7 linked regions of the Rattus norvegicus genome follow. The protein of the gene in region 1 interacts with the protein of each later gene in a pairwise test. Links are inferred from orthologs where the notes say so. Each region holds a gene or a part of one and is shown in the gene's direction. Other genes may lie near its edges. The genes, in order: Fam161a, Mipol1, Trim54, Cep63, Ccdc57, Golga2 and Card9.

Region 1 (4,118 bases):
TCAGATCTGCCCATTTCTGTTCCCCTCCCTCTTTTTAGCTGTTACTCGATGTCTGCAAATTTAGAATACTGTCGGTCGAAACTTTCCTATTCTCTGTACTGAAGGACACTGATGTCCTTCATACCCATTATTTACTATTTCATGATCCTAAAACCATCAGCTTACAGGGCTTCAGTCTGTAGACAGGTCTTGTTTTTGAGTTGGCTTACACCAAATCCCGTCACAGAACTAGCTGTCATTCCGACGGCTATGGATCCCTCCCCACCTCTAGCTTTTCAGAACCAACCAGTACCCATCAGTTCCTGCAAGAGGCAAGCTCAGCCAAACCAGAGGAGGCAGGGAAGGTGAGGTGATGGAGACCTCGCAGGGGCGAGCAAGGAAGGGCTGGTAGCAACTGCGTCAGAAACAGGTTCAGTGGAAGGCGAGCCGCATAATGTGGAAACTACTGGAACCTTATGGTGGGGACAGGGGCGCTACTTCTAAGTAGTGTTACGTTGCAGGTGGCTGAGACTTCACTGAAAGACCATCCGAAGCGGCCAAAAACCTAAGATCGATCAGGAGGCTGGTGGGGTTGAGCTGGGAGGGTGTGGTCCCTGTGGGTTCTCCCCCTCCAAGCCTGCGGCTAAGCTAGCTGCAGAACCCCAAGACAAGCTACCCCATCACTCACTGGTCCGAGTGACAGGCATTTCCTATGTCTAGCGTCTTACTGGTCAGTCGAGAAACAGGAGGGCGGGACAAATAAGTATTCTCCCTCTGATTGGTCAACTCGTGAAATTCTTGTCAATTAGAGATGAACTGCGTTCTCCGCCATGTTGAATAGCACGCTGCATAGCCTGTCCTTTTCTTGGGCTGGTCACCCAACGCCCGTTCTTTCCTGTTCCTCTGTGCTCTAATATGTTGATCCAGTTAATAAAAACGCGCTTTCTGCGTATACCGCGAGAAGTCCTCGTTCAGATAGAACGAAATAAAGCTAGAAACCAGAGAAAAGCTCAGTCCCTAGCTGCGGATCTGGGTGTCATTCAAGAGAATCAGTAATAGTCCCGGTGCTGATGAGATTCCATTGAGCAAACTCTCTTGAAGACTGCGTTTTACTTTAGCTTACTGTGGTAGTCATTAGTGTAGATTCGGATAGTTATGCTTCTAGAATGCCCCGTTAAACCGCAGGATTGTATCAGAAACCATCATTAGACGTTAGCTGGACTCGGGGCTCGCATTTGTGACAGTGAGAAAGGACGTTGCCTGCGTTACGGTCCTTCGCCACCTCCTGTAGCGTCCCTAGTAACCGTGCCCCTAGTAACCGCTCTCCCCAGCCAGGATCTGCGAGCGAGGCGGCGGCGCCAGCTCACCCGCCCCGGGCCGGCGCGGGCGCTCGGGCTCGGAGGCGGGGCGGTGGCTTCGCCGCACTAGGCTATCAGACTGGCTGCTGCCAACCTCCACCTGCCCGCAAATCCCATCACAGGAGCAAGGGCCTCCCAGTACGAACGCGAAGACCCCTTATAGTTCTTGGTAGCAGCGGCGTTGGCGGCGGCCGTGGAAGAGAAACAGAAGAAAAGGATGTGGCAGATACGGGCGTCGGTAATGTGGGAGCCCGGCGGGGTCTGGGGGCTGTCCGGGTCCTCACCAGCAGGGACGGGTGGAAATGCGGTGTCCTCTGCAGACCCTTCCTGCTCTCTGCTCCAACTAAAGACTAATGCAAAACTTTCTTGGAGAGCATTTTTATAGCTATTTCTAGAGTGTGCACAGAACAGAATTCTACTTATTTATTCTCCAGCATATCTTGAGAATAAATATTCTTCAGTTTTTTAAATTTTTTTCTATTTTTAATTTTTGTTTTTTCCCTTGAGGAAAACTGATGTGCCTATCTATAGTTTTCATAAAACCTCAGATGATAAGTTGGACTGACAAGTGTATTTTATCGGTTTTGGTTAGTAGTGGATTTTAGCAGTCCTTTAGGAAAGCCTGTTTGAAGTTCAGTGGACAGATGCTCCATAGATATAGAGAAACATCCAGATAAATCCCCGAAATCCCAAAGTTTACTAAAGGGGCCATACGGGTGCAGTGAGGTCTTCTCGCAAAACATTTTCAGTATTATGTCCTGGATGCATTTCTAGCAGGAGGGCACAGTCTTCCTCTATCCTCTCTACTTCTTTTCCATATACATATGGATTATGGTTTATTTATTTTATACATATGAGTACACTGTCGCAGTCTTCAGACACACCAGAGGAGGGCATCAGATCCCATTACAGATAGTTGTGAGCCACCATGTGGTTGCTGGGAATTGAACTCAGGAACTTGGAAGGGCAACCAGGGCTCTATCCGTTCTATTCATTTCATTTGTTTGTTTTTAGATTTATGTGTATGAATGTGCGCAGTGTGAGTTCCTGGGAGTTCCTGACGGTTGTGATGGGGGCTGGGAATCAAGCCTAGGTGCTCTGCAAGAGCAGCAAGTGCTCTTAAGCCATTGCAGCATCCTTTTTAGTTTGTCTCTTGAGACATAGCCATGGCTGTCCTGGAACTCAAACTCACAGAGCTCTGCCTGCCTCTGCCTCCTGAGTGCTTGGTTTAAAGGTGCATAGTAAAATGCCCAACTTTTATTCACTTAAAAAGTCTAGCACTCTGCTGGTGTAAAGCACCAGGAAGGAGCATGTCTGTGTGTGTGTGTGTGTGTGTGTGCACGTGCACATGTGTGTATGTGTCCCCACCCCAACCCCTGCCACTTGGTTTCTTAGCAGTGCTGGGGGTGGGATGAAGGGTTTGTGCTTTAGGCAAGTGCTGTACTAACAGCTACAAACTTGGTTTTTGTTTTATTTTAGACAGGGTCTCCTTTGGTTCAGGATTGCCTCAAATTTGCTGTTAAAATCCTGACCCTCCTGCCTCCATCTTCCCAATACTGGGATTCAGGCACCGTGGCTGGCCTGTATCAGCTCTTTCAAGGTTATGTAAAGTAGACAGAGGCCCAAACCACCAGAATCCTAGGACTGGTTTATACCTGATAAGGCTGCCATTCAACACAATCTATCAAAGGTTACAGAAGGCAGAATGCTGGAATGGAGGGAAGGAGTTGGATTCTGGATCAGAAGCCATTGTCTGCTACTCGCTGGGTGATTATAGGACATGACTTCTGTTTCTCTGTCTGTAAAAGGACTATAATCGCCCCCATCTTCTGTTAATAAGAACCAGAGGAGAGAATGGGTGTCATTTCTAGAGAGTTTACATAAATTCGTAATTATAACTGCCAGCTTGAACAATTCACTTGGAAACTGACATATACTCTGGCAGAAAGGTCTGTCCTTTGTATAGTTGTGCTTAGGTTCCAAAGTGCCCTGCTCACTGAAGATTTGTGTTATAAGTGGAGTTTGGGTTTCCAACACCCACATACACACCTGGTGTGTTGGCTTTTGTGTATAATCCCAGTGCTTCGGGAGGAGGAAACAGGCAGATTCCTGGAATTTGCCGAAAGCCCCATCTCAAAAGATAAGATGGACTAGGGAACTCACCCGAGATCGGATGTTCCTGCAACTGATGCTCACCCCTGCACAGGCTGGGAAACTCCTTCTGCTCTCCTTTCCCCAGCCCCGCCCACCTGGGAGAAAACTCAGGCTAACACATCATCACTCCTCTCCGAATTCCAGACAACCTGCCCAAGAGTGCCTCCCCGGGGGCTCAGATTCTGACCACACGTGCACACCAACCATCCCAGCTCCTAGCTAGCAGATCTTCACTCCTCACAAAGCTCTGTAAAACCCCCTTGCTTTAGCCTGGATGTGACGTCACCGACCTCCACCTGTGAGATCGATGAACCCACCCAAGAGCTGCCCCCTAATAAACCTGCCTTTATCCACTTCTAATCCGGTCTAATCCAGCCTGTATCTGTGTCACCGAGGGGAGAAAAAGTCTGTCATTGACCTCTGGTGCACACACACACACACACAGGCACATACACACAGGCACACAGAGACAGAGAGAACCTCAACATTTAATAGAGACATCAAAAGAGATTAAGGATTAGCCACCATAGTAGGAGGCCTGGAACAAGGCCCAGAGGGTCCCACATTCACTGAGAGAAGCAGTGAGGTGAGAAGTCAAGTGCTTCACATCAGTTCCCTAAAAATGAA
Region 2 (3,500 bases), on another chromosome or scaffold:
GTTTTGGCTCCTTTATCAAAGATCAAGTGACCATAGGTGTGTGGGTTCATTTCTGGGTCTTCAATACTATTTCACTGGTCTATCTGCCTTCTTTTTACCAATACCATATATATATTTATCACTATTGCTCTGTAATACTGCCAAGCCTACTTTTTACAGGTGGAGAATTATTTCTTCTAGACTTAATAAAGTACATAAAAGTTGCAATCAATAGTTGTGTCTTTTAATTTTAGTAATAATGATTTCCTCCCAAACTTTATTATGCCATGAAATATATTTTATCTCTTTAAAATAAATATTGCTTAGTGTATACAACTTAAATAATTTTGTGATTATAATTAGGCATACAAAGTAGATTTAATAATGTATTGTATTTTTTGATGACATTGAGGTTAAAGTAATTCCATTCATTTTAATATTATAATGATGTTTACTGAAATAAATCATCTTTACTGATATCAGGCACTTCTTTAAGTCAGTGATATTTTTTATTTACATTTTATAGACAGAAAGTGATATGTTAAATATCTTGTACATCATTATACACTTATTAAGGCTGTAATTTTTTCTACAGACAGGGCAAATCACAGTTACATTGCATAGTACTGATTCACTATTATCATTTTCTTATACTTACTACTTTGAGTATATGTTTAAATTAATGGTCGTCTCCATTAACTGTAATCATTTAGGCAATGTAAAACATAGAAGCTGATCCACTTCCAGAAGCTTTTGTTGAGTTAGCACAGGTGTGGCCTTCTCTGCCCCATTTTAGAAACTCAGGTAGCAGTGTAGAGCCTGACTTGTAAGCTATTACTCTAAACAGAGGTTTTCAACCTTCTGTGATTGAATGTTGTTACAGGGGTCGCATATCAGCTACCCTGCGTAACAGATATTTACATTACAAGTTATAATCATAGCAAAATTGCAGCTATAAATTTACAACAAAATAATTTTATGGTTGGGTGACCACAACATGAGGGACTGCATAAAGGGTCACAGCATTAGGAAGGTTGCGAACCACTGATGTAAATGTCTTCTGCTCACGGACATAGGAATGCCGACGACAAATGCTGCACTCCACACACTTCGTCTGCAGAGTGATCCCAGTGACTGTGTTCAAGTCCATGAGGTTCTTTTCCTAAGCATGGTCATCTGACTCAACCATCTTCCTATCTGCCTGTGTCCTTTCATATATCACGTGTCATTTGTTTAATGCAGATATGACCTTTGTCTTGTACAACTGACCTCTGTGGGAAGTGCGGACGCACCAGCAGATGAGCAGCTGACTATGAGTTCAGAGCAGAACATGCACGAGTTAGGCAATGAAGTCACATCTCAGGACCTTGTATTACCAGGAAGAAAATCCAGCAATTGTCAGGTCCTCCGTCCTTGTCCAGATGAAGTTCTATCTGCAACGTGCAGGTGCGTGTTGGTTTCAGTGTTTCATCGAAAAAGTAAGAATTGAAATAGCACTCTTCCCTTAATACGTTTTCTCTCTTCTTCATTTTGGAGTCTAATAAATTTAATGTGTTAGTGACTTAAAAACAATTTCAGCATGAAGGGGAGAGGGGTATGGGAGAAGAACTCTGAGAGGGCGAACTAGGAGACGGAGAAACAGTTGGGATGTAAAGAAATTAAATAATTAATTAATAAAAAAATTTCTGTTCTCTGTAAGGGCTTCAATTACTTTCATGATGTTGATATAATGTATCTAGATAGCTGAGAGAAAGCACAAAATGAGTTTAAAGAAAGTAATGAAATTTTATTTTTTTTTTATTTTATTTTTTTTTAAACTTGAGTATTTCTTATTTACATTTCGAGTGTTATTCCCTTTCCCGGTTTACGGGCCAACATCTCCCTAACCCCTCCCCCTCCCCTTCTCCATGGGTGTTCCCCTCCCCATCCTCCCCCCATTGCCGCCCTCCCCCTAACAATCTAGTTCACTGGGGGTTCAGTCTTAGCAGGACCCAGGGCTTCCCCTTCCTCTGGTGCTCTTACTAGGATATTCATTGCTACCTATGAGGTCAGAGTCCAGGGTCAGTCCATGTATAGTCTTTAGGTAGTGGCTTAGTCCCTGGAAGCTCTGGTTGCTTGGCATTGTTGTACATATGGGGTCTCGAGCCCCTTCAAGCTCTTCCAGTTCTTTCTCTGATTCCTTCAATAGGGGACCTATTCTCAGTTCAGTGGTTTGCTGCTGGCATTCGCCTCTGTATTTGCTGTATTCTGGCTGTATCTCTCAGGAGAGATCTACATCCGGCTCCTGTCAGTCTGCACTTCTTTGCTTCATCCATCTTGTCTAATTGGGTGGCTGTATATGTATGGGCCACATGTGGGGCAGGCTCTGAATGGGTGTTCCTTCTGTGTCTGTTTTAATCTTTGCCTCTCTATTCCCTGCCAAGTGTATTCTTGTTCCCCTTTTAAAGAAGGAGTGAAGCATTCACATTTTGATCATCCGTCTTGAGTTTCACTATGACTTTATTATATAAGGATACTTGTGTGAAACTGATATAAATGATATGTTATTCACCAAAGCTCAAATCTGGTCAAAGGTGTTTATTTTTTCATCGCCATGTTCTTGGTTTTGGGTAATTTGAATACTTTTAGAGTGATCCTGTACTCTGTCTACCTTTTTTTTTATTCTACATTCTGTGGCTTTAAGTCATACTCTGTAAAGAAATTTGAGTCTATGATACCTGTGTTTATTATGAATGAGATTATGCTGCTTTGTTTATTAATTATGTGCTGTAAAGGTAACACTAGATTTTTAAAATGACAACATAATTCTGATTTTTGTGTTTCCTCACATACTATTTTAAAGTTTTGTAGGGTTGCTTTTCTCTTCAAAATTGTTCAGATACATTCACTGCTATCAATACACAGTAAAATCAGTAACTGTATTGGTGTTCTTCTCTCTTAGTGTCAGATTCTTACCAAAGTACAATTGGTAGTATATGTTTGGTATAGAGGATGGTGGGAGAATGGATAAACATTTTTATAATCATACAAGAAACATAAATGGTAGAGCTCATGTTGTGTTCCTTCCATGAGCTCTGTGGTATAATTCAGTATGAGAGCATGAGAGCCCTATACTCGCTGCCTGTCCCAAGGGCTCAGTGCCAAAGACCGGCTTAAGTAACACACCCATCAGTGCTTACATACTTAACACTTCGACACCAGAAACAACCCATCTTTTTCTCATTTCTTCTCTATACTACCTGCTTACAGGTCGATGTTGTTGTCAGCTGTCTTGTGGAATGTATTTACTATTAACTCCTTGGGGAATAGATATTAATTTTAATGTCTTTCAGTTAATAATGAAAATATGAAGATGATACTGTTTTCATAAAATTGGGAAAATTGTTGTTTCCATTTTCAGAAAAGCAAAAAATACATGTTTTTCCCAAACAGAACTATAAATCAAAACATTTATAGCTTTTATAGCCTCTAATCTGATCTCTTGTTAGGTATACTGAACCAGATCTAGTCAGACTGAACCA
Region 3 (4,155 bases), on another chromosome or scaffold:
TCAAAACTTTTTTTTTCTTTTTCTTTATGTGTGTCTGTGTGAGCATCTGCATGCATGTGTCCGTGTAAATGTCTATGTGCACGTGTCTGTGAGCCCATGAAGGGCGCTGAGTCTCTTGGAGTTACTATTACAGATGGGTATGAGTGCTGGGATTTGAACTCCAGTCCTCATGATTGAACAGCAGGCTCTCCCGGTCACTGAGGCATCACCAGTCTATGCTTGTTTCAGGTTTAAGCAAATTTAGCATCCTTGCAATGGACTAATGTAGTTGTGGACCAGAATCACACGCTCTCACGTCATAATCCTAAGGCAGGTCTGGGCCTGGTACAGCAGCCACCTCTTGCCTTTGAGCTGCTCTCCTAGGATGATGCCACAAGGGCGAGCCAAGGGCTGGTGACGTAGCCCAGTTAGCAGAATGCTTCTCCAGCATGCTTGAGACCCCGAGTTGACCCCCAGCACCACATAAATGGGGATAATGGTGCTTTCCCCTCAACCCAGCACATCGGATGTAGAGGCAAGAGGATCAGGAGTTCAAGGTCATCCATGGCGAGAATGAGTTCAAAGCTAGCCTGTCCTACTCAAGAACCTGTCTTTAATAAGGGAGAAGGAAGAGATTGTTCTCTGGGGAAAGCCACTTGTCACCAGTTCTGAGGACCTGAGTTGGATTTCTGGCACATGCTGCAGAAAAAGAATTTTCTTTTGTCCTGTGACTTCCACTTGTGCTCCAGGTTGCACCCACCATTCCCCCTAAGTAAATAAGTGTAGGGTTGCTTTTTTATATAAAGGCTGGGCAAGAACAAATACGGGGCAGACATATGGAACAAGATGTTCTCTCTCTCTCTCTCTGGTCTGCCGTTCCACTTCTGAATCATGGAGGAGGGCCGGGTCACTGGCTAAGCCTGTAGAGGAAGCGATGACGCAGTCTACAGGTCTGTCCAGGTCTTGCCCCCCACCTGGGCCCAGGTATGGCACCTCTCCCACAGGCTAGTTTACACTGCGTTTCTGTTTGGAAGAAGGTCCCAAGCCAGAGCACGGAGACCAGTGTTCGGAGGAGCCTTTTCAGTGACAGCGATAGAGCCCCACACGCCACTGGCCACCCATTCCTGACAGTCATGGCCACTCAGTCTGGGACAGCTGTGTCTCGCCTTACATGAGCTAAATTGGGAACTGGAATGTCACAGCGGTGCCCCTGTGTCCCCACCCCCACAGTAACATTAGTCTCTCTCGGGAGGAACAAACAGTGCTGCCCGCAGAGCGAGCAAGAGGGTGGTTTGGGGAGACAGGAGGAGAATCTCACAGGGAGAGAGAGATAAACTACAAGTGCCTGGTGAGGGTTCCGAGCAGACAGAGTGTCTGGAAATAGCCCAGGGAGAGAGGAGCTGTTAGAGGAAGGGACAGGAAGCACCGCTCTTTCCAGAGGGAGCAATATCAGGGATCCCAAGAATCTACAGTCAGCCTAAACTGACAGCGGAAGGGCGCGCAGGCAGGGGGAGAGAAGGCCAGCAACAGGGCCACAGCAAGGCACCAGAGCACCGCGGGATGAACTTCACGGTGGGTTTCAAGCCGCTGCTGGGGGATGCACACAACATGGACAACCTGGAGAAGCAGCTCATCTGCCCCATCTGCCTGGAGATGTTCTCCAAGCCCGTGGTGATCTTGCCGTGCCAACACAACCTGTGCCGCAAGTGTGCCAACGACGTCTTCCAGGTGGGCTGGGACAGGTGGGGGACGGTGGGGGACAGGTGGGGGTCGGTGGGGGACAGGTGGGGGACAGGTGGGGGATGGTGGGGGACAGGTGGGGGTCGGTGGGGGACAGGTGGGGGACAGGTGGGGGACAAGTGGGGGATGGTGGGGGACGGTGGGGGACGGTGGGAGTCGGTGGGGGACAGGTGGGGGACAGGTGGGGGATGGTGGGGGACAGGTGGGGGGTGGTGGGGGACAGGTGGGGGATGGTGGGGGACAGGTGGGGGATGGTGGGGGACAGGTGGGGGATGGTGGGGGTCGGTGGGGGACGGTGGGGGACAGGTGGGGGACAGGTGGCGGATGGTGGGGGAGAGCCCACCCCTGGGAGCCGGTGAAACTGCCCTGGCTGAGAGGCAGGAGAGTTGAGGGTCCCAGAGTAAGGTCCCAGAGTAAGGTCCCAGAGTCAGCATGAGTCAGCAGCTACCCTGAGGCTGGTAAGCATAACCTGTGTCTACAGCAACTAGAAAGTGGGGTCCACCCAGCACAGCAGAAACTGGAAAGGAAGATCGATGGTCTCGCATGGGCTTAGTGGGAGCTTGGACTAGATTTCATTCATTTTGAGGCTTTTATATGTATATGTATATACATATACATATACAAACACACACACATATGAGAGAGAGAGATAAATTTTTTTAAACAAACTCTGGAGAAAAGATCAAGGATATATTGAGATCTTTCTCTCTCTCTCTCTCTCTCTCTCTCTCTCTGTGTGTGTGTGTGTGTGTGTGTGTGTGTGTGTGTTAGCTAGTGTGGCTACCAGACCTCAACTTGAGTTTGATTCCCAAAACATAAATGATGGAAAGAGAGAACTGACTCACAAAAGTTGACCTCTGACCTTCACTTATATGAACACAGACAGACAGGCGCACACACACACACACACACACACACACACACACACACTTTAAACAATAACCTGGTGTGGTGGTGTATGTATGCCTGTAATTCGAGCACTTGGGAGGCTAAAACAAGGGGATTGTCATTGTTTGGTTTTGTTTCTGAGTCAGGGTCTCTGTAACCCTGGCGGCTGTCCTGAAGCTCACTATTCAAACCGGGCTGACCTTGAACTCACAGAAGATCCTCTTGCCTCTGCCTCTCTCGTACTGGGATTAGAGACATCGCTGCCATGCTAGCAAGTGTCACCTTATTTACATAGTGAATTCTGATCCAACTTGGGCAACAAAACAAGACCGTTTCAAAAAGTAAATAAGAAAGAGAAAACTAAAATTAAAAATTGTTGGGGCTGGGGATTTAGCTCAGTGGTAGAGCGCTTACCTAGCAAGCACAAGGCCCTGGGTTCAGTCCCCAGCTCCGAAAAAAAGAACCAAAAAAAAAAAAAAAAATTGTTGGTAAACCGGTGAGAAATCCTTCCATACCAACAGAACTGTGTGTATTTGAGGCAGAGCCCTCTGTCCCTGAGGGGTCTGATAAGACACAGTGGGCCACAGCAGGAACATTCTCTCCAGTTTCACACCGGTGATCCTTCCTGACCTAGTAGGAGATAAATGGTATCCAGGCGACTTACAGACAGACAGACAGACAGACAGACAGACGGCAGAAACAAAATTGTACTTCCCAGAAATGCCTGGGTGTCTGTGGTCATGAGGCCAAGCATAACTAGGTGAAGTCACAGCACTATTTTATCTACACATCTCCAACGCAAAAACAGAAGAGCTGAGCACGGCTGCAAACCCAGCCCTTGGGAGGTTAAGGCTGGCTTGGGCTGCATAAGACGCTGTCTAGCCAACTAACTAACCAACTAACTAACTAACCAACTAACTAACTAACCAACTAACTAATCAACTAACTAACCAACCAACCAACTAACCAACCAACTGACTAACTAACTAACCAACTAACTAACCAACTGACTGACTAACTAACCAACTAACTAACTAACCAACTAACTAAATAAATAAACCAGAGTCCTTTATAAGTTCCTAGGCTTGCCTCCTGGCTCTGTGTCTTGGTAGAGGTCTGAGTAGTTTATGACTGCATCAGAGGTCAGGGAGAATGAAGGAACAGAACTCACATGTACAGACACCGGACCTCACAGATGAAGTAACCTGGATTCCTCAGAGCTGGCTCTCCTGGTGGGCAATCTGTGATGGGAACACCAGGAATACACTTCTTGCCAGGAGCCAGCCTGGGATCCAGCGAGGAAGGAGCACCACAGGCTGGAGGCTAGCCTGCTCTATGTAGCAAGTATACCTGTATACCTGTAGAGTAAGACCCGTCTCAAAAGAGGAAAAGATAACTGTCTGGGGCTGAAGAGAGGACTCGGTGGTCAAGAGCATTTGTTGCTCTCCCAACCAACCCAAGTCCAGTTCCCAGCATCCACGTGGTGGCTCGCAACCATCTGTAACTCCAGTTCCAGGGGCTCTGATGCCCCCTTCTGACCCCCATGGA
Region 4 (4,228 bases), on another chromosome or scaffold:
TCCTCCGGGAGGCTGCCAGGCAGTCTAGTTGAATCAGAAAGTTCCAGGTTTAGTTTAAGATTCAAAGTAATAAAGGAAGACACAGACGTTGACCTCTGACCTCTACACTCATCTACGACTCCACCTGTAGGCAGAAACCACACCTTTTTTGTCTGCTCATGCACACAGACACACCACACACCCGCATACAAACACTGAAGCCAAAGGTGGTCAGCTCCTCCTGCTGAGTGAAAACCAGGTGATGGCTTAGCAGTTTTCCTCAGACTTAACCAGACCCTAGCTAGTGGATAATGCAAAGCTAGCTGAAGAGCCACTTCTAGTCACTCCTCTAGGGCTTGACAAGTTTCCTCCCCTTTCCTGTCAATCTTTTGTTTTTATAGCTGTGTCTTGGGCTACATTTCATTCTTTCCTGTACTGATTTTCCCAGTCCTATACAGACTGCATCCTTTTCTAAAGTGTTCTGACTTCCTTCCAGTTTTTTAGCAGGCTCTTTGTCCTTGAATGCTTTGTTGCTCACATTAAATGATCTATGAAACAAGTTAGGTCAGCTTTGTGATTGACTGGCAGAGTCCTACTGTCTCCAGTGGTAATGCGGTGATTCCCAATCTTTCAACAAGCTGGCCTCAATGTTTGTTTGTTTGTTTTTTAATTATTTATTATGTATATATCATACAGCTCTCTGCCTGCATGTATGCCTGCAGACCAGAAGAGGGCACCAGATCTCATTACAGATGGTTGTGAGCCACCATGTGGTTGCTGGGAATTGAACTCAGGACCTCTAGAAGAGTAGACAGTGTTTTTAACCCCTGAGCCATCTCTCTGAGCCTGGCCTCATGATTTTTTAACTCCCTGAGCCCGGCCTCAATGTTTTTTAACACGACCCTCTCCCACATGCCTACAAACCGGCTTGCTTTTTACCCACCCACTGTACTTCATCAGTTATGCTTGCTCGTCCTTCTAAACAACAGGAACCGCGGCAGGGCTTTGAAGTCTACATCTATTTTCCTGGGTCAGGTGATCGGGTGCTCCCCCTGGGAAAAGCAAGCACAGGCAATGCCCCAAACCCTTACGACACAGCATAACCTCTCTAGGTTTCTTAAACTTTTTGTACTCTTCTCTTACTATGCCCGGTCCTCCAGATAAATTCTCAGCTCTCAGATTGTCTTGATCTCTGAGCACAATATGTGACAACAGGAGTTTTTTTGTCCAGACATCTCTTTCTAGATATTAGATGCGTACGTCCTATGAGACATACTCACGTTTTATGTATTTTCACAATCACAGCTTTGTAAATGTATTTCTAAGCTAAAAGCACGGGGGCCGATACTAAAATTGGCCTTCGCAGGCCACCATCTTGGGTCACTAGACGCAGAACCACCCGCTGCAGCCGTTTCCGGTTCGAGTGCTGGAGCTACTACGTGCGGAAGTGCAAGGGGGAGGTCGAGCGTCGCCATGGGTGCTCCGTTCCACTCCGCACAGCGTGCAGTAAAGAAGTGGCTCTGAAGGTCGGTTGAGAGTACCGGCCTGCGCTTCTGGAAGCGCTGAACGACTCTGAAGTCGAGGGCGAACGCTTGGCTACTCTCAGAAACCCGGGCGGCGGGCGCGAAAAACCCTTACCCACAGAGCGCGCGTCGGCTTCCTCCGGGCCCCGCCCTTCTTCCGGGTCACGTGACGCACGGCGCTCTCATACCCCGTATGTAGGTGAGTCCATTCGCTGCTGTAGGGGGCGGGACGAACGTCGATTTATTGTGACGTGCGCGCGTTCCCGGTCAGAGGAACGGCGGGCAGGCCCCGGGGCGCGCTCTGCCGGGGGCGCGCTCCGTAACCGACCGCATGCCCCTAAGACGGGCGAGCTGCGGCTTGTTGTGCGTTTGCGGCCCTGGCCACCGTGGTGCCGCTAACCTTCTGGCCGCATGGCCCGGGGCCGCAGTTCGTTGCGGCCCACCTACCGCGGGGGCCTCCACTGCACGCCCACTGCTGTCCGGCCGCTGCGTCCCTGGGTTCCTCCGTCTCCTCCCTATGGGGCTCTGAGCTGACCGGCCAGGTGCTACGGCCAGCGGGAGGGCGGGTTGCTTCGCTCCCGGGGAGGAACCCTGCTGCTACGGGTGTAGGACCAGGCCTTAGCATTAGCCACTCAGCGTGAAGTCCGCAGGGTTCCCTCGTAATGTTCGTAGGAAAGGTGCGGGAACCCCTGATGCAGGCGAATTGCGGAACGCTTTCAAGTCGAGTGAAAGTTTTGAAAGAGCAGTTCGATAACAACGCTTTACGCGGAGACACTTGACCGTGAATGGATTGATTGGAAAGGGCTTTTGTACTTCACAGAATCGTGGGGTTACAGAGTTTTCATTTATAAACTGTACACTTATTGCTCAAAGCGATCCCCTTTCTCTCCAACTAGCACCGGCTCTCCTTTGTTGCTCTGGTCGACCAGGCTGGCCTCATTGTAGATGGACCTACCTCTGCCTGCTAGTTAAGGATCTGCACCACCTCGCCTGGCTTTTTGAGTTCTCTTTCTTGAGGCCAATTTAGAGTTTTAAAATGTATTACTTTATTAAAGCAGGGTAGGTGCTCTTTGTACAATTCTTCGAACATTTGCATTTATTTTGTATTTATATTTTGTAAGTCAAAGATCAATGGCTTTAATTATCTAACTATTTACACCTACTCTTAAAGGCTGTAGCTTAGTGATACGATGAAACGAATTATCTTCGTTTCATTCATGAATTATATTCATTCATTGGAATGCAGCGCCATTTTTAGGTAATTTTTGTCCCTGCTTCTTGTCTTTCACTGTGCCGTCCTCAGCGATCAGTTAAGGAGGTTGTCAAACTAAAATGGGTTAGAGATTTATAAACAGATGCATGTCCCTTTAGAATGTGTATCTGCTGATGCTGTTTCCTCCTGTGGGGAGGTAGGGGACAGTTCCTTAGGCCTTCCTGTCCTGTGTAGTGGCTGATGGTGACAGCATTAGTCCACACTATCATAGCTAACATAGTTAAGGTACTCTCCATGCCAAAGGCTAGATTTGCTTTTTTAAGTTTTACAAAATCACGGTGCTATCTTTATATCAGTACAAATTTATAACAAATACACAATATCAATATCCAATGGGTTCAGGGTTTTTCAGCTACTCCATATGTGCTTGAAATTGAAATACTGTGCTTGGACCAGATTTCCTGCAGAGAACTGTCTGTTGCCTTCGATTGCTAGGCCTTTAAAGCCCTCTAATCTATAGCATTTTCTTACCTCCATTTATCATTCAGATTTAACTGATTGTATATATTTTTGACTATGTTCCTCTACTCTTCTATGACCTCTCCTCCACTGGCTAAATCTTGAATTACACTGTCCAGTGTGGCAGTCATCAGCCAGTCCTGATATTTTAAATGAAATAAAAGTTTGGTTCCTCAATTGCGTTAGCCACATTTGATATACCCAGCGTTCACAGGTTGCCTAGTGGCTACTGTTTGATCAATACAGATAAAATGTTTCCATAATTACAGAAAGTTCTGTTGAAATACAATGATCTTTTGAAATAGTGTTAGATTCAACCTTGATTTTTGATTGGAGGTATAAGAAAAACGTAATAGTTATAGGCTTTATATTATGAAAATTATCGGTTGCATTCATTATCAGGGAGACTTGTAATGTCTGAGTCATCCCACTTGGGATGTTGAGATTAAGCTGTGTATGTAGTGGTTCCTATGCTGTCTGCTCAGTTGATCCACCATGAAATTGCCCAGGAGCCCTTTGGTCAATAGAGAGATTTAACATGGCTAATAGTGCCCAGGTCTGTTACTGCAGGACAGCCACGGTCATGCGCCCAGTGCACTCTTATCTGACTATCCTGAATACAGCTTATCCAGGAATAGCAAGAAAATGCTTAACTCTGTTCCTTTCCTTTCAGACTACAGCAATGAATTGGTGGCCTAGCAACCTCCAAAGGTAACCCAAGGGCTCTACCTTAAAACAGATAAACTTGAATGTGTTTAAATCTGTAGTTTAGCAACCTCCAAAAGTAACCCAAGGGCGTTACCTTAAAAACAAACCAACAAACCAACAAACCAATAGACTTTAATGTGTTTAAATTGTTTGAACATATAACAATTTTTTTTTAAAAAGGATTATTTATTTTAGGTGAGTATATCGTAGTTGTCTTCAGACACACCAGAAGAGGGCAGATGGTTGTGAGCCACCATGTGGTTGCTGGGAATTGAACTCAGGACAT
Region 5 (3,500 bases), on another chromosome or scaffold:
GTCTTCAGCTCTGGGAGAGGAAAAAAAATGATAAAATAACAAAAGCCAAACCATTGAGGCATGGTGGCACAGGCCTTTAATCTGATCTCTTGGGAGGCAGAGGCAGCAGACAGATGTTTGATTTTGAGGCCAGCCTGGTCTACATAGTGAGTTCCAGGGCAGCCAGAGGTACACAATGAGATGCCATCTCTAAAAAACCAAACTAACCATCTAAACAAACAAAAACCAAGCAAAACAAAACAAACAAACAGAAAAGGAGAGGGTTCGTCCTTTTATTTTTCCCCAGTGTTGGGGGTGAAATCCAGAACTTCGCACATCCTAAGCAATTGAGTTGCATCCCCAGCCTAGAGACCTGGTTATCTGTGGATGATGTTGAAGCTTCTGCCACCTCAGGCACCATGGAGTCGTGTCATATGACCCAAGTGACAAAGCATAGCAGCCTTGTCCTTGACCTACTAGAGAGCTCTCTCGCATCTTAGGTCCCATTCATACTGCCAGGCATAGTGGCTCTCACCTTTAATCCCAGCACTCAGGAGGCAGACACAGGGGGATCTCAGTTCCAGGATAGCCAGGTCTACAGCAAGACCCTACCTCAAAAAACAAGTGGAGAGGGGAGAAAAGGCAAACACTTGACGCCTTTTTGAAGGTAGCCATGTTCCCCACTTTATTAGTAACCCAGGTAGTGTTTGGGACTGCTCAGTGGCATCCAAGTAAGGTGTGCGTTGCCTCCAAAGTCTGAAGAGGCCCGTCGTCGGGTCTCCTGCTTTTTGGCTGTGGCAGGTGCCAGACCAGGAACTTGGATTCTAGAGATAGGGGCCGCTGCATTTTAGTCAGGTTCTACGTCCCAACCACTGACATGCAAGTCTGTCACCACTAAGTTCACGGTGTCCTCTGCCATCTTCACTGCCATCAGTGTGAGACTCATTCTGGTTATTGACCTGAGAGGCCTTGGAAGAGAGAACCTTGACTGAGAATTGCTTTTATTGCTAACTGATTGCTAATTGATGTAGAAGGGCCCCAGCTCACTGTGGGCAGTGCCAACCCTCGACAGGTGATCCTGGGCTGCAGAAGAAAGAACAGTCCAGGGGGAGCAAGCCAACAAGCAGCATTTCTCCATGGCCTCTGCTTCTCTTCCTGCATTGGCTTCTCTTGATGATGGGCTATAACCTCTTACTGAGTGAACCCTTCTTTCCCCACGTTGTTTTTGATGGAGCAATTTATCACAGTAACAGAATCAAGCAGAACAGTGTAACAGACCAGTGCCGTGTCCTCATGTGGAAAGGTCAATATCCCTGTGAGCTAAACTGCAGAATGGGGTCTGGGGCCAATAGAAGCCTCAGGTAGGACAGTACAGATACATTTCAGCCTTGGCAGCCAAAAGCAGGCCTACTACTACTGGGCCTTATGGGCAAAGGAACAGACATCTATCAGGTCAGTAGCTGTACCAAGCATAAGAATATGTACTTCTAGGGGCTGGAGAGATGGCTCACCAGTTAAGGGCACTGGCTGCTCTTCCAGAGGACCTGGGTTCAATTCCCAGCACCCACATGGCAGCTCACAATTATCTGTTACTCTAGTTCCAGAGGATCTGACACACTGAGAAGAGCAGTTCTCAAGATGGAACCTCTTATAAACCTGCTCTAGGCCTGCATGTCCTAGCATACGTAGACCCATGCTCCCACCCCTGTGACTTTTGAGGGAGTCACCTAGCCTGGTGGCTGGGATCCAGGTTAAACTTCCTCTCTCCTTATAAGGTCAAGTTCAGCTAGCACTTGGGACTCCTCCCTATGCAAATAAGGCATCTCCAGTACCCTGGCCCTGGCCAGTGACCTCACTCATCCCATAGCCCTTTCTCACCGCCAAAGGTTCAAATAAATAGCCTTTGTTCCCCTAATTAAATGAGCTTCTCAATGAAGCCCACCTCCCAAGAACTCTTTCTCTCTCCTGCTCACCCTGCCTGTCACCCGAGGTCTCTGTCACCCCTGCTGTTCCTATCTAGCTTTACCTGTCAGGGCACCTACCTGGGTCTGACGTTGTTTAATCAACCAACAACAGGTTTGACTTCCAAAACAGACAGGAGTCTTGCCCATTGAGCCAGATCCTGGAAATATGTAGTCAAGAAAAGATTAATTATACCAGATATGGTGGTTCAAGGTAGCAAGTAATCTTAATACCTGGAAGGCAGAGGCAGGAGAATCACCATGAGTTTAAGGATAACTTGGCCTACAAAATGAGAACCTGTCGGGGCTGGGGATTTAGCTCAGTGGTAGAGCGCTTACCTAGGAAGCGCAAGGCCCTGGGTTCGGTCCCCAGCTCCGAAAAAAAAGAACCAAAAAAAAAAAAAAAATGAGAACCTGTCTAAAAAGTTAGCAACAACCACCAAAAACAACTCAGCAACTAAGAAACGACTCCCCTGCGGTGGCGCCACAGTCGCCAAAGGAGTCTCAAGAGAGTCTTTAGCTGGAAAAGGCTGCTGAGAGGTTGGTTTGCTCAGACTCAGTGGAATGCACTTGGGTGTCCAAGGGAACTTTGGCTCCGTCATTCAGGCGGCATCCCCATCTCTGGACTCAAGAAACCTTGACATGCTACTATGCCAGCTCTGCTGCAGGAGGCTAGGGAGAGGTCTCCCCCCATAGAGGCTGGAATAGCCAGCCCGAGGCGGCCCAGGGCAGTCTGCCTAGAGCAGCCTGATGTGGCTTGGAGCAGTGTTGGCCTTCTGGGTGGTGGTCAGGAGAGAGTTGTGTAAACGCAGTATTCCTCAAGGCCCTGCCTTCTGTTGTTGGGCCAGAGTCTCACGTGTCGGTCACCTTTGTAAATAGAGTGGATTCATGAAATAATGATTTTTCTCTTATAAATTTAAACAAGCTGACGGCTAGTAACTGACTGGTCTGCTTAACCTCACCACGTACTGTGAACCAGAGAAACCCTTTTTCCTGTTGGTCGTCACAGGTTCACAAGACGCTGGAGGAGATTTACTCACTCCTTTCAGAAGTGTTTCTGAACGTATGCTACAGGCTGGTAGCTCTTCAGGCCCGGGGTTGCGCACGGATACCTGTCATGCCTGTCATGCTTGCCCTCACCGAGCGGAGAACACCTTGGGACAGTTCACTACCTGTGGACGTGATGAAACAGGAGTGGGTGTGGTTGGACTCAAGTACGGTGAGAGGGCGAGAAGGTCCATAGACATTGGTGGGGGCGCAGAAGAGAGTTCAGCAGGAGGAAGACAAGAACCCACCTATGTGCTCAGGGATACCTAGAAGCTAGAGTTCGAGTTCAGAGGAGGAATGTCCTCGGTGGAGCTGGGCTTTCAGGGCCTTACAGACTCTGGCACCATGGGAAACTGTTGAGTGTTTGTGTAGAGCAGTGACCTACGTGACTGAGGGCCAGATGTGGGAGAAGTAGCCAGCAGGCAGGCTGATGGGGCATGCTTGGGTAGCAGGCCCCTGCAGATAAAAGCATGCCAACTCTTGGTATGCCTAGAAGGGGAGCCAGTGGGGACT
Region 6 (3,500 bases), on another chromosome or scaffold:
TAGTTCTTCAGTTAACATGTTAGGGGACATCCACCAAACAAAAGGAGCAGGCTTCTGTCCAACTGAAGGGGTGGCCTGAGCCAAGGCCACATCCTGTGGGGCTGAGGATGGGCGGGGTGAGGACTCGCAGGCTGGCATTGGGCTGTTTTCAGCCAACAGAGCTGATCCTGCCAGGTGTGGTCGGCTCAGGTGCTGTGCCTCCGTGCTCAGCTCAGACGTGGCACATTGTGCGTGTGGGAGTTGGGGGCACAGAGTTGGCATTTGTTGTGCTAAGGAGTCAGTCACACAGAGCTGGGGCTTCAGTTTCCCCTTTGGGAAATACTGACCAGAGCACCTAGCCCCTCTGTTCAGGAAGTGAAGACTTTTCATGTGTTTATGAAAACTTTCTTGAACCATAACTGACTTTCTACTCCAGGGATAAAGGAAATTGGCATCTTCTGAGTAGAAATAAAACAGGAAGTTATGGAAAAATAAAAATAGTTTCTGATGGGATGGGGTATTTTGAGGAGAGTGAAAACTTTGTAAGCACTCCATGCTTAGCTCTAAGACTTAAAATTGGGGAGTTACATGGTTCCTCACAAAGCAATTGAAAGTCTCCCAACAGTGCGTGGTGTCCCATCTTTATAATCCCTGCTTTTGGGAGGCAGAGGCAGAAAGGAGGTCTCTAGTTTGAGGTCAGCCTGGGCTCTATAGCAAGTTTGAGGCAAGCATGAACTTCAGAGAGACCCTGTTTCAAAACCTAAGACAAAAACCAAAAGGTACTCAGACAAATATTTTTATCTATTTTGTGCCTCTGTGAATGTTGCCAGGCTTAGAGATGTGTGTTACTAAGATGCTACAAGGGACCCAAAGCCTAGAAGGGTCTGTTGCTGGGAATGTCACACCTCCAGACTATCTCAGGTGTGGCCAGCTGCCACTGAGTCCCTGGTCTTACCTGTTAGACTCAACTGTAGACATTGTCAAGGCAACACCTAAGTGTGATTCAGAACTGACAGTCACATGTGTTACAGGGACGTTAGTCACAGTAAACCTGAAGAGAATGAAGTTCACACTTGAGTTCTCAGACGTCCTTTCTCACTTACTCAAAGGAGGAAATTTGGTTAGCATCTCCAGAGGCTGAGACTGAAGGCTTCAGAAAGCAAGCAGCCATTTCTTTGGAGAAAGGAATGGCCACTTCCTCCCAGAGCAGCCTTGCTGGATAGGCCTGGAATTTTTGTCCCTCTCCTTTTGTCTTCCCATCCTTTGCCTATTTGGATTGTTGGACCTGAGAAGACCTCTAAGCCAGAGACATAGTCTAAGAGTGAGGCCTGAACTACCAGGCCTAGGGGTGTGCGCACACCTTTAATCTAGCACCTGGGAGGCAAAGGCAGGCACAGCTCTGTGAGTGCAAGGCCTTCCTGGTCTACAGGGTGAGTTCCAGGACAGCAAGGGCTACATAGTGAGCCCCTGTCTCAGAAAATAAAACAAACAAGTGAGGCCTGAGCCTGAGGAGGAGCTGGGTACAGCTGGTCAAGCAGATAGTTCCTGCCAGGGAAGTGGGGAGACTTCTACAAGCTGCCATATAGGAAATCCTAGGATTGGTCCCTGGCTGCTTTTCCTAGGAAGCTTACATGATCTTCTAGATACTTCAAGCCAAAGGGCAGCCATTGTTCTCTACTTTACTCAGTTGTTTCTGAATCGACAAACACAGCCAGTGCATGGGTCTGGGAGGAGGGAAGGCAGGAAAGCAAGAGGAGAGGGAGAATGGTTATGTTGACCCTGATGATGAGTCCATCCCAGGAGCAAGACCTATAGTCAGGGGCCGTTAGCTCTCTGCCTCCTGCACTTGGCACTTTGTCTACCTGCTGTGGCTGCCACAGGTCAGAGCTCCATAGGGAACTAGGTCCTTGTGTATTCAGGAAGGAGCCCCTGCAGCCCCTGCTTTGAGCTCTGGCCCTTCAGAATGCTACTAAGTAGCCTGAGACCTGGGCATGTCTTGTCTGTACCCCAGTAGCTCCCAGCATGTGCAACTGTCCTGTGCCTGCCGCTGTGCTACCCTGCTTGCCCCATCACCTCGTGTCCGTGGCATTGAGGCCCTTCTCTCCTGCATGGTCTTCTAACCATCCTGCTCTGTTCTATGACAGGTGCCCACAGACCACACTGCTCCTGCACCACCAAGTACTGCTGCTGCCACTATGTTTCTTGGTGTCGTCCCTTCCCCCGATGCTGATCTCATTCAGGTTTGTCTTTTCTTCACTTTGCCTGACACTCTCCTGTCTGCTTCCTGAAGGACTCCCAAAGTTCTTTGAACTCTTTCTCTCTTCAGATAGCTTGGTCCAGGTGCTGCTCCGGGAGCCTGGCATGGGGAGGCCAAGCTGGGGAAGGCTTGGGAAGATGGGTGTTGAGATGAATTTGGCTCATGGTGTCCCTGTGTGACAGTAAGCAGAAGCTGAATAATGTTACCTTGTTTCTTTCTACCCACACAGAGCCACGATGCTGGCAATTGCTCTAACCTCATGGAGGAGACCAAGTAAGTGTTCCCTACTGAGGGAGTCAGGGCAGGCCTCTGCCCATGAGCCCTGTTTCCATCAAACTACCTGCACCCCTGATCTTATGTCTCCTCCCTTAGGACTTTCTCATCGACTGAGAGTCTGCGACAACTTTCTCAACAGCTCAATGGCCTTGTGTCTGAGGTACCACAGGACTGGGGTCCAGAGAGAAGGTAGAGAGGAAAGGAAGGCACAGTAGAAAACGAGGCAGGGATTCCCGAGCGGCTCTTGTCATGCTTGGAGAAGACCTGGATTTGGACCTCGATGGGCAATGTGATTTTATCCTGTTTATCCTGGTGTGGAAAGTTCGAGGTGACAGCTGTTGAGCAGCGGGGTTGAGCCATGGGGGTTTAGGGGCCATGAGGAGTGGCACAAGAGGGTGTGAGTGAACAGGAAAGCAGACTCTGCTAGTTGAGGGGGAATAGGAGGCTGCAGGGATTAGACAGTGAGGGTCACAGAGCATCTCCATGAGAGGTATTGTCTCTCCTAGTCTACATCCTACATCAACGGGGAGGGCCTCACGTCTTCCAACATGAAGGAACTGGAGGTAAGTGGCCTTGAATCATGGCCGAGCAACCCTTTACGCCAACCACCTATCTCCTCCTACAGGGACCTGGGTGCCCGCTGCCAGCTGAGACAGCCCACCACCCCCACCCCTAATGATGCTCTTTCTCCCTTTCCCCCATCCTTCCTCAACTCCTCCTCTCTGCATGCGCCTCAGAGCCGGTACCAAGAGCTAGCAGTAGCCCTGGACTCCAGCTATGTAACAAACAAACAACTCAGTAGCACGATAGAGGAATTGGTAAGAGTCAGCGGGGTCCCTGATTCTTGCTGCCAGTCCTGGGCTCCAGTTTCCCCTTTGGGCTCTGAAGAAAGGGACTAGGGGGCCCCTGGGACCAAGGGGGAATGGAAAACCTAGGGGCTTCCGTCTTAGCTGGAGGCAGCCAGAGCATAGAGCATGCAGCATGGTTC
Region 7 (2,998 bases), on another chromosome or scaffold:
CCGAGCTGAAGCGCTGCAAGGATGAGAACTACGACCTGGCCATGCGCCTGGCTCACCTGAGTGAAGAGAAGGGAGCAGCACTCATGCGGAACCGTGACCTGCAGCTTGAGGTGATGGCTCACTCCACAGGCAGCGGGGTGGTCAGGAGGAGGCTGTGGCTGACTGGACCACCCGCAGGTGGACCAGCTCAGGCACAGCCTCATGAAGGCAGAGGATGACTGCAAGGTGGAGCGCAAACACACACTGAAGCTCCGGCACGCCATGGAGCAGCGGCCTAGCCAGGAGCTGCTGTGGGACCTGCAGCAGGAGAGGGACTTGTTGCAGGCCCGGGTGCAGGAGCTGGAGGTCTCCGTGCAGGTAGGAATACCACCGGTGCACACCAGGCCTCGCATCTGCATGGGCTTGAAGCTGGGCACACCAGATGGTACAACTGCAGTGGCTGTGGCACTGTGGGCCTCCTCAGCCAGGCTTATTGTTCCCTGCCACCTCCAGGAGGGTAAGCTACACAGGAATAGCCCATACATCCAGGTGCTGGAGGAGGACTGGCGTCAGGCACTGCAGGAACACCAGGAGCAGGCCAGCACCATCTTCTCCCTACGAAAGGACCTCCGCCAGGCTGAGGCCCTCCGGACCCGGGTAAGAGGCCAGGGCAGGCAAGCAATGCCCACTGGGATCCTGGATGGTGGGGTCTGGGACAGCTCACTGTCTCCCCTTTATCAATTCCTAGTACACGGTGGTGTGTCCACAGCTAAGGTCACCCTTTGGGCTTAGGTTAGCCTACTGTGGACTGGGACTCCAGTGTCTTCCTCATTACCCCAGCCAGCCTGGTCTTGTGTGCTCTGGGGCTGTTGTCTGTCCAGCTCGGGTAGGGGAGGGAGTGAGGCTGAGCGGTGCTTCCTGTAGTGCATGGAGGAAAAGGAGATGTTCGAGCTGCAGTGCCTGGCCTTGCGCAAGGATGCCAAGATGTACAAGGACCGGATCGAGGCTATCCTGCAGCAGATGGAGGAAGTCTCCATTGAGCGGGACCAGGTGGGTGCCACACTTGCATTCAGAAACTGAGAACAAGCAGTGCTGGGGTATTGGTGTGGCAGCCTTTGGAGCTGCTGCGGCCAAAGCATTTTTTTTATTTATTTATGCTCAAGGTAACTTGGCAGTGTTGAAAGATAGAACCTGGGGCTGCTCGTACAAATGCAGTCAGGTCTAACCTTACTCAAAGGAAGAGCTTATGTAGCAGGAGAACACTGCAGTCCCGGTGCTGGATAGGGAGGGATAGGTGGGAGGGAGACTTCAGTAGGGGAGAGGAAGCTGCCAGATGCATAGGTTGGGGGTGGGGAGCATTTGGTACAAGAGCTGGTGGTGGTTCCCGGGTAGGGGCAGTGGTGACTCACTCACACCTGTAATCCCAGCACTTGCAGGTTGAGACAAAATAATTACTGTGAATTTAAGGGCAGCCTGATTTACAGTGAGTTCCAAGCCAGTTTGGGGCCCAATGTGAGACCCTGTCTCAAAAAGCCATGTTTAGTAGTACATGCCGGTTCCAGCATTTAGGGGTAAAGACAAGAGAATCATAAACTCAAGGCCATCCTCAGCTACCTAGTATATATGAGGCCAGCCTGGGATAAGAAAGAAAAAACACACATTGTGTTCATTTAAGGACAGCCATGGATCCTGCTTTTGATGTCAAGCAACATCCAGAATTTATAAAATATGTCCCATAGGAGGGACGGAAACACACACACACACACACACACACACACACACACACACTGTCTGCTGGGAATGTAGGACTTCTCAGTTGGGCTTCCTAGGAACTGACTTGTGTGTTAATCACAGAGGTTTTTGGCTGTTTCTTTGCAGTGTTTTTTGTTTTGTTTTGTTTTGTTTTGTTTCTGAGACGAAGTCTCATGCAACCCAATCTTGCCTCCAGATATGGCATTGAACTATTGATTCTGCTTCTGCCTCCCAAGTGCTAAGGTTCTGGGCCTGCCCTATTCCACCCAGTGTTTGTTCACTTGTACTTCGAGCCCCAATGCTTTGAGAATCCCTCCAGTTCAGCAACTCCAGCAGCACAGCAGGGTGGTTGATGTCCCGCCAGGACCTCTGGTAGGGGCCAAGACCTATACTGCCAAATGAGAGCCAAGGTCCCTTGCTGAGGGTGTGGCCTTGGCCATTCCTACAGGCTATGACCTCAAGGGAAGAGCTGCATGCACAGTGTGCCCAAAGCTTTCAGGACAAAGATAAGCTGCGAAAGCAGGTTCGAGAACTGGATGAGAAGGCCGACGAGTTGCAGCTGCAGCTGTTCCAGACCGAGAGCCGATTACTGGCCGCTGAGGGCAGACTCAAGCAGCAGCAATTGGACATGCTCATCCTGGTAGGTCTCTGTGTCTGCTGTAGCTAGGGCAGTCTGGGCGATTCGGGAGCTGGGGAGAATGCGGGGTCAAGGCAAGATTCCTGAGGGACCATGCAGCCCAGAAGCATCCCCAGGCCTAGCCTGGAATGGCTGGTGCTCTGCTTGTGATCTCAGAAGATGCCTGGCCTTCCTGAATCCCATTTTTCCTCTTTAGAGCTCTTCATGGTGAAGTGACAGCCATAAATATAACCCAAGGCCCAGTCAGTCACACCACTCCAAGGACAGTGGCCTTGCCCCGGGAGTCACCTGGTGGCTTGGCAGTGTAGTGTTAAGAAAGACATATCTGGGCATATCTAGAGATATGTGCAGGGCTGCCCTAGAGGATGGAGCTTGGAGGGGGCTCTTATCTTGCCCTACATGCCCCATGCCCAGGTGCTTGGAGCCCCTACCGCCCACTGACCAACTCCCTTTTCTGTGGCCACAGAGCTCTGACTTGGAAGACAGTTCCCCCAGGAACTCCCAGGAGGTGAGTATGGACACAGAGTGGGCCTCTCCCTGTCCTTCAACCTCCACCTGACCTCACACTCATCTCCCATGTGGCTCTTAAACTGGATTGTCCCTTTTCTCTCGTTTTGGGCTGGATACAGG

Evidence for each region.
Region 2: the proteins of Fam161a (region 1) and Mipol1 interact in binary tests that used the Homo sapiens proteins (3 or more experiments, as listed by UniProt). The two-hybrid records come from large-scale screens. The link is inferred for Rattus norvegicus from reciprocal best matches to the Homo sapiens genes FAM161A and MIPOL1.
Region 3: the proteins of Fam161a (region 1) and Trim54 interact in binary tests that used the Homo sapiens proteins (3 or more experiments, as listed by UniProt). The two-hybrid records come from large-scale screens. The link is inferred for Rattus norvegicus from reciprocal best matches to the Homo sapiens genes FAM161A and TRIM54.
Region 4: the proteins of Fam161a (region 1) and Cep63 interact in binary tests that used the Homo sapiens proteins (3 or more experiments, as listed by UniProt). The two-hybrid records come from large-scale screens. The link is inferred for Rattus norvegicus from reciprocal best matches to the Homo sapiens genes FAM161A and CEP63.
Region 5: the proteins of Fam161a (region 1) and Ccdc57 interact in binary tests that used the Homo sapiens proteins (3 or more experiments, as listed by UniProt). The two-hybrid records come from large-scale screens. The link is inferred for Rattus norvegicus from reciprocal best matches to the Homo sapiens genes FAM161A and CCDC57.
Region 6: the proteins of Fam161a (region 1) and Golga2 interact in binary tests that used the Homo sapiens proteins (3 or more experiments, as listed by UniProt). The two-hybrid records come from large-scale screens. The link is inferred for Rattus norvegicus from reciprocal best matches to the Homo sapiens genes FAM161A and GOLGA2.
Region 7: the proteins of Fam161a (region 1) and Card9 interact in binary tests that used the Homo sapiens proteins (3 or more experiments, as listed by UniProt). The two-hybrid records come from large-scale screens. The link is inferred for Rattus norvegicus from reciprocal best matches to the Homo sapiens genes FAM161A and CARD9.

The regions. Positions count from the first base shown.
Region 1 is NC_086032.1:101,209,376-101,213,493, forward strand, and holds the start of Fam161a (protein FAM161A), read left to right. Parts: upstream 1-1,318; 5' UTR 1,319-1,554; coding exon 1,555-1,575; intron 1,576-3,961; exon of another isoform or gene 3,962-4,118. UniProt on the Homo sapiens protein: Involved in ciliogenesis.
Region 2 is NC_086024.1:80,577,330-80,580,829, forward strand, and holds part of Mipol1 (mirror-image polydactyly gene 1 protein), read left to right. Parts: intron 1-1,221; 5' UTR 1,222-1,291; coding exon 1,292-1,425; intron 1,426-3,500.
Region 3 is NC_086024.1:30,975,676-30,979,830, reverse strand, and holds the start of Trim54 (tripartite motif-containing protein 54), read left to right. Parts: upstream 1-1,355; 5' UTR 1,356-1,539; coding exon 1,540-1,707; intron 1,708-4,155. UniProt on the Homo sapiens protein: May bind and stabilize microtubules during myotubes formation.
Region 4 is NC_086026.1:112,081,847-112,086,074, reverse strand, and holds the start of Cep63 (centrosomal protein of 63 kDa), read left to right. Parts: upstream 1-1,428; 5' UTR 1,429-1,701; intron 1,702-1,813; exon of another isoform or gene 1,814-2,044; intron 2,045-2,412; exon of another isoform or gene 2,413-2,561; intron 2,562-3,907; exon of another isoform or gene 3,908-3,916; coding exon of another isoform or gene 3,917-3,945; intron 3,946-4,228. UniProt on the Homo sapiens protein: Required for normal spindle assembly.
Region 5 is NC_086028.1:106,674,227-106,677,726, reverse strand, and holds part of Ccdc57 (coiled-coil domain-containing protein 57), read left to right. Parts: exon of another isoform or gene 1-2,949; coding exon 2,950-3,159; intron 3,160-3,500. UniProt on the Homo sapiens protein: Pleiotropic regulator of centriole duplication, mitosis, and ciliogenesis. Critical interface between centrosome and microtubule-mediated cellular processes. Centriole duplication protein required for recruitment of CEP63, CEP152, and PLK4 to the centrosome.
Region 6 is NC_086021.1:35,988,283-35,991,782, forward strand, and holds part of Golga2 (golgin subfamily A member 2), read left to right. Parts: intron 1-2,123; coding exon 2,124-2,219; intron 2,220-2,465; coding exon 2,466-2,509; intron 2,510-2,608; coding exon 2,609-2,672; intron 2,673-3,018; coding exon 3,019-3,075; intron 3,076-3,249; coding exon 3,250-3,330; intron 3,331-3,500. UniProt on the Homo sapiens protein: Peripheral membrane component of the cis-Golgi stack that acts as a membrane skeleton that maintains the structure of the Golgi apparatus, and as a vesicle thether that facilitates vesicle fusion to the Golgi membrane.
Region 7 is NC_086021.1:29,572,405-29,575,402, reverse strand, and holds part of Card9 (caspase recruitment domain-containing protein 9), read left to right. Parts: coding exon 1-110; intron 111-177; coding exon 178-357; intron 358-492; coding exon 493-636; intron 637-903; coding exon 904-1,029; intron 1,030-2,179; coding exon 2,180-2,371; intron 2,372-2,782; exon of another isoform or gene 2,783-2,834; coding exon 2,835-2,876; intron 2,877-2,998. UniProt on the Homo sapiens protein: Adapter protein that plays a key role in innate immune response against fungi by forming signaling complexes downstream of C-type lectin receptors.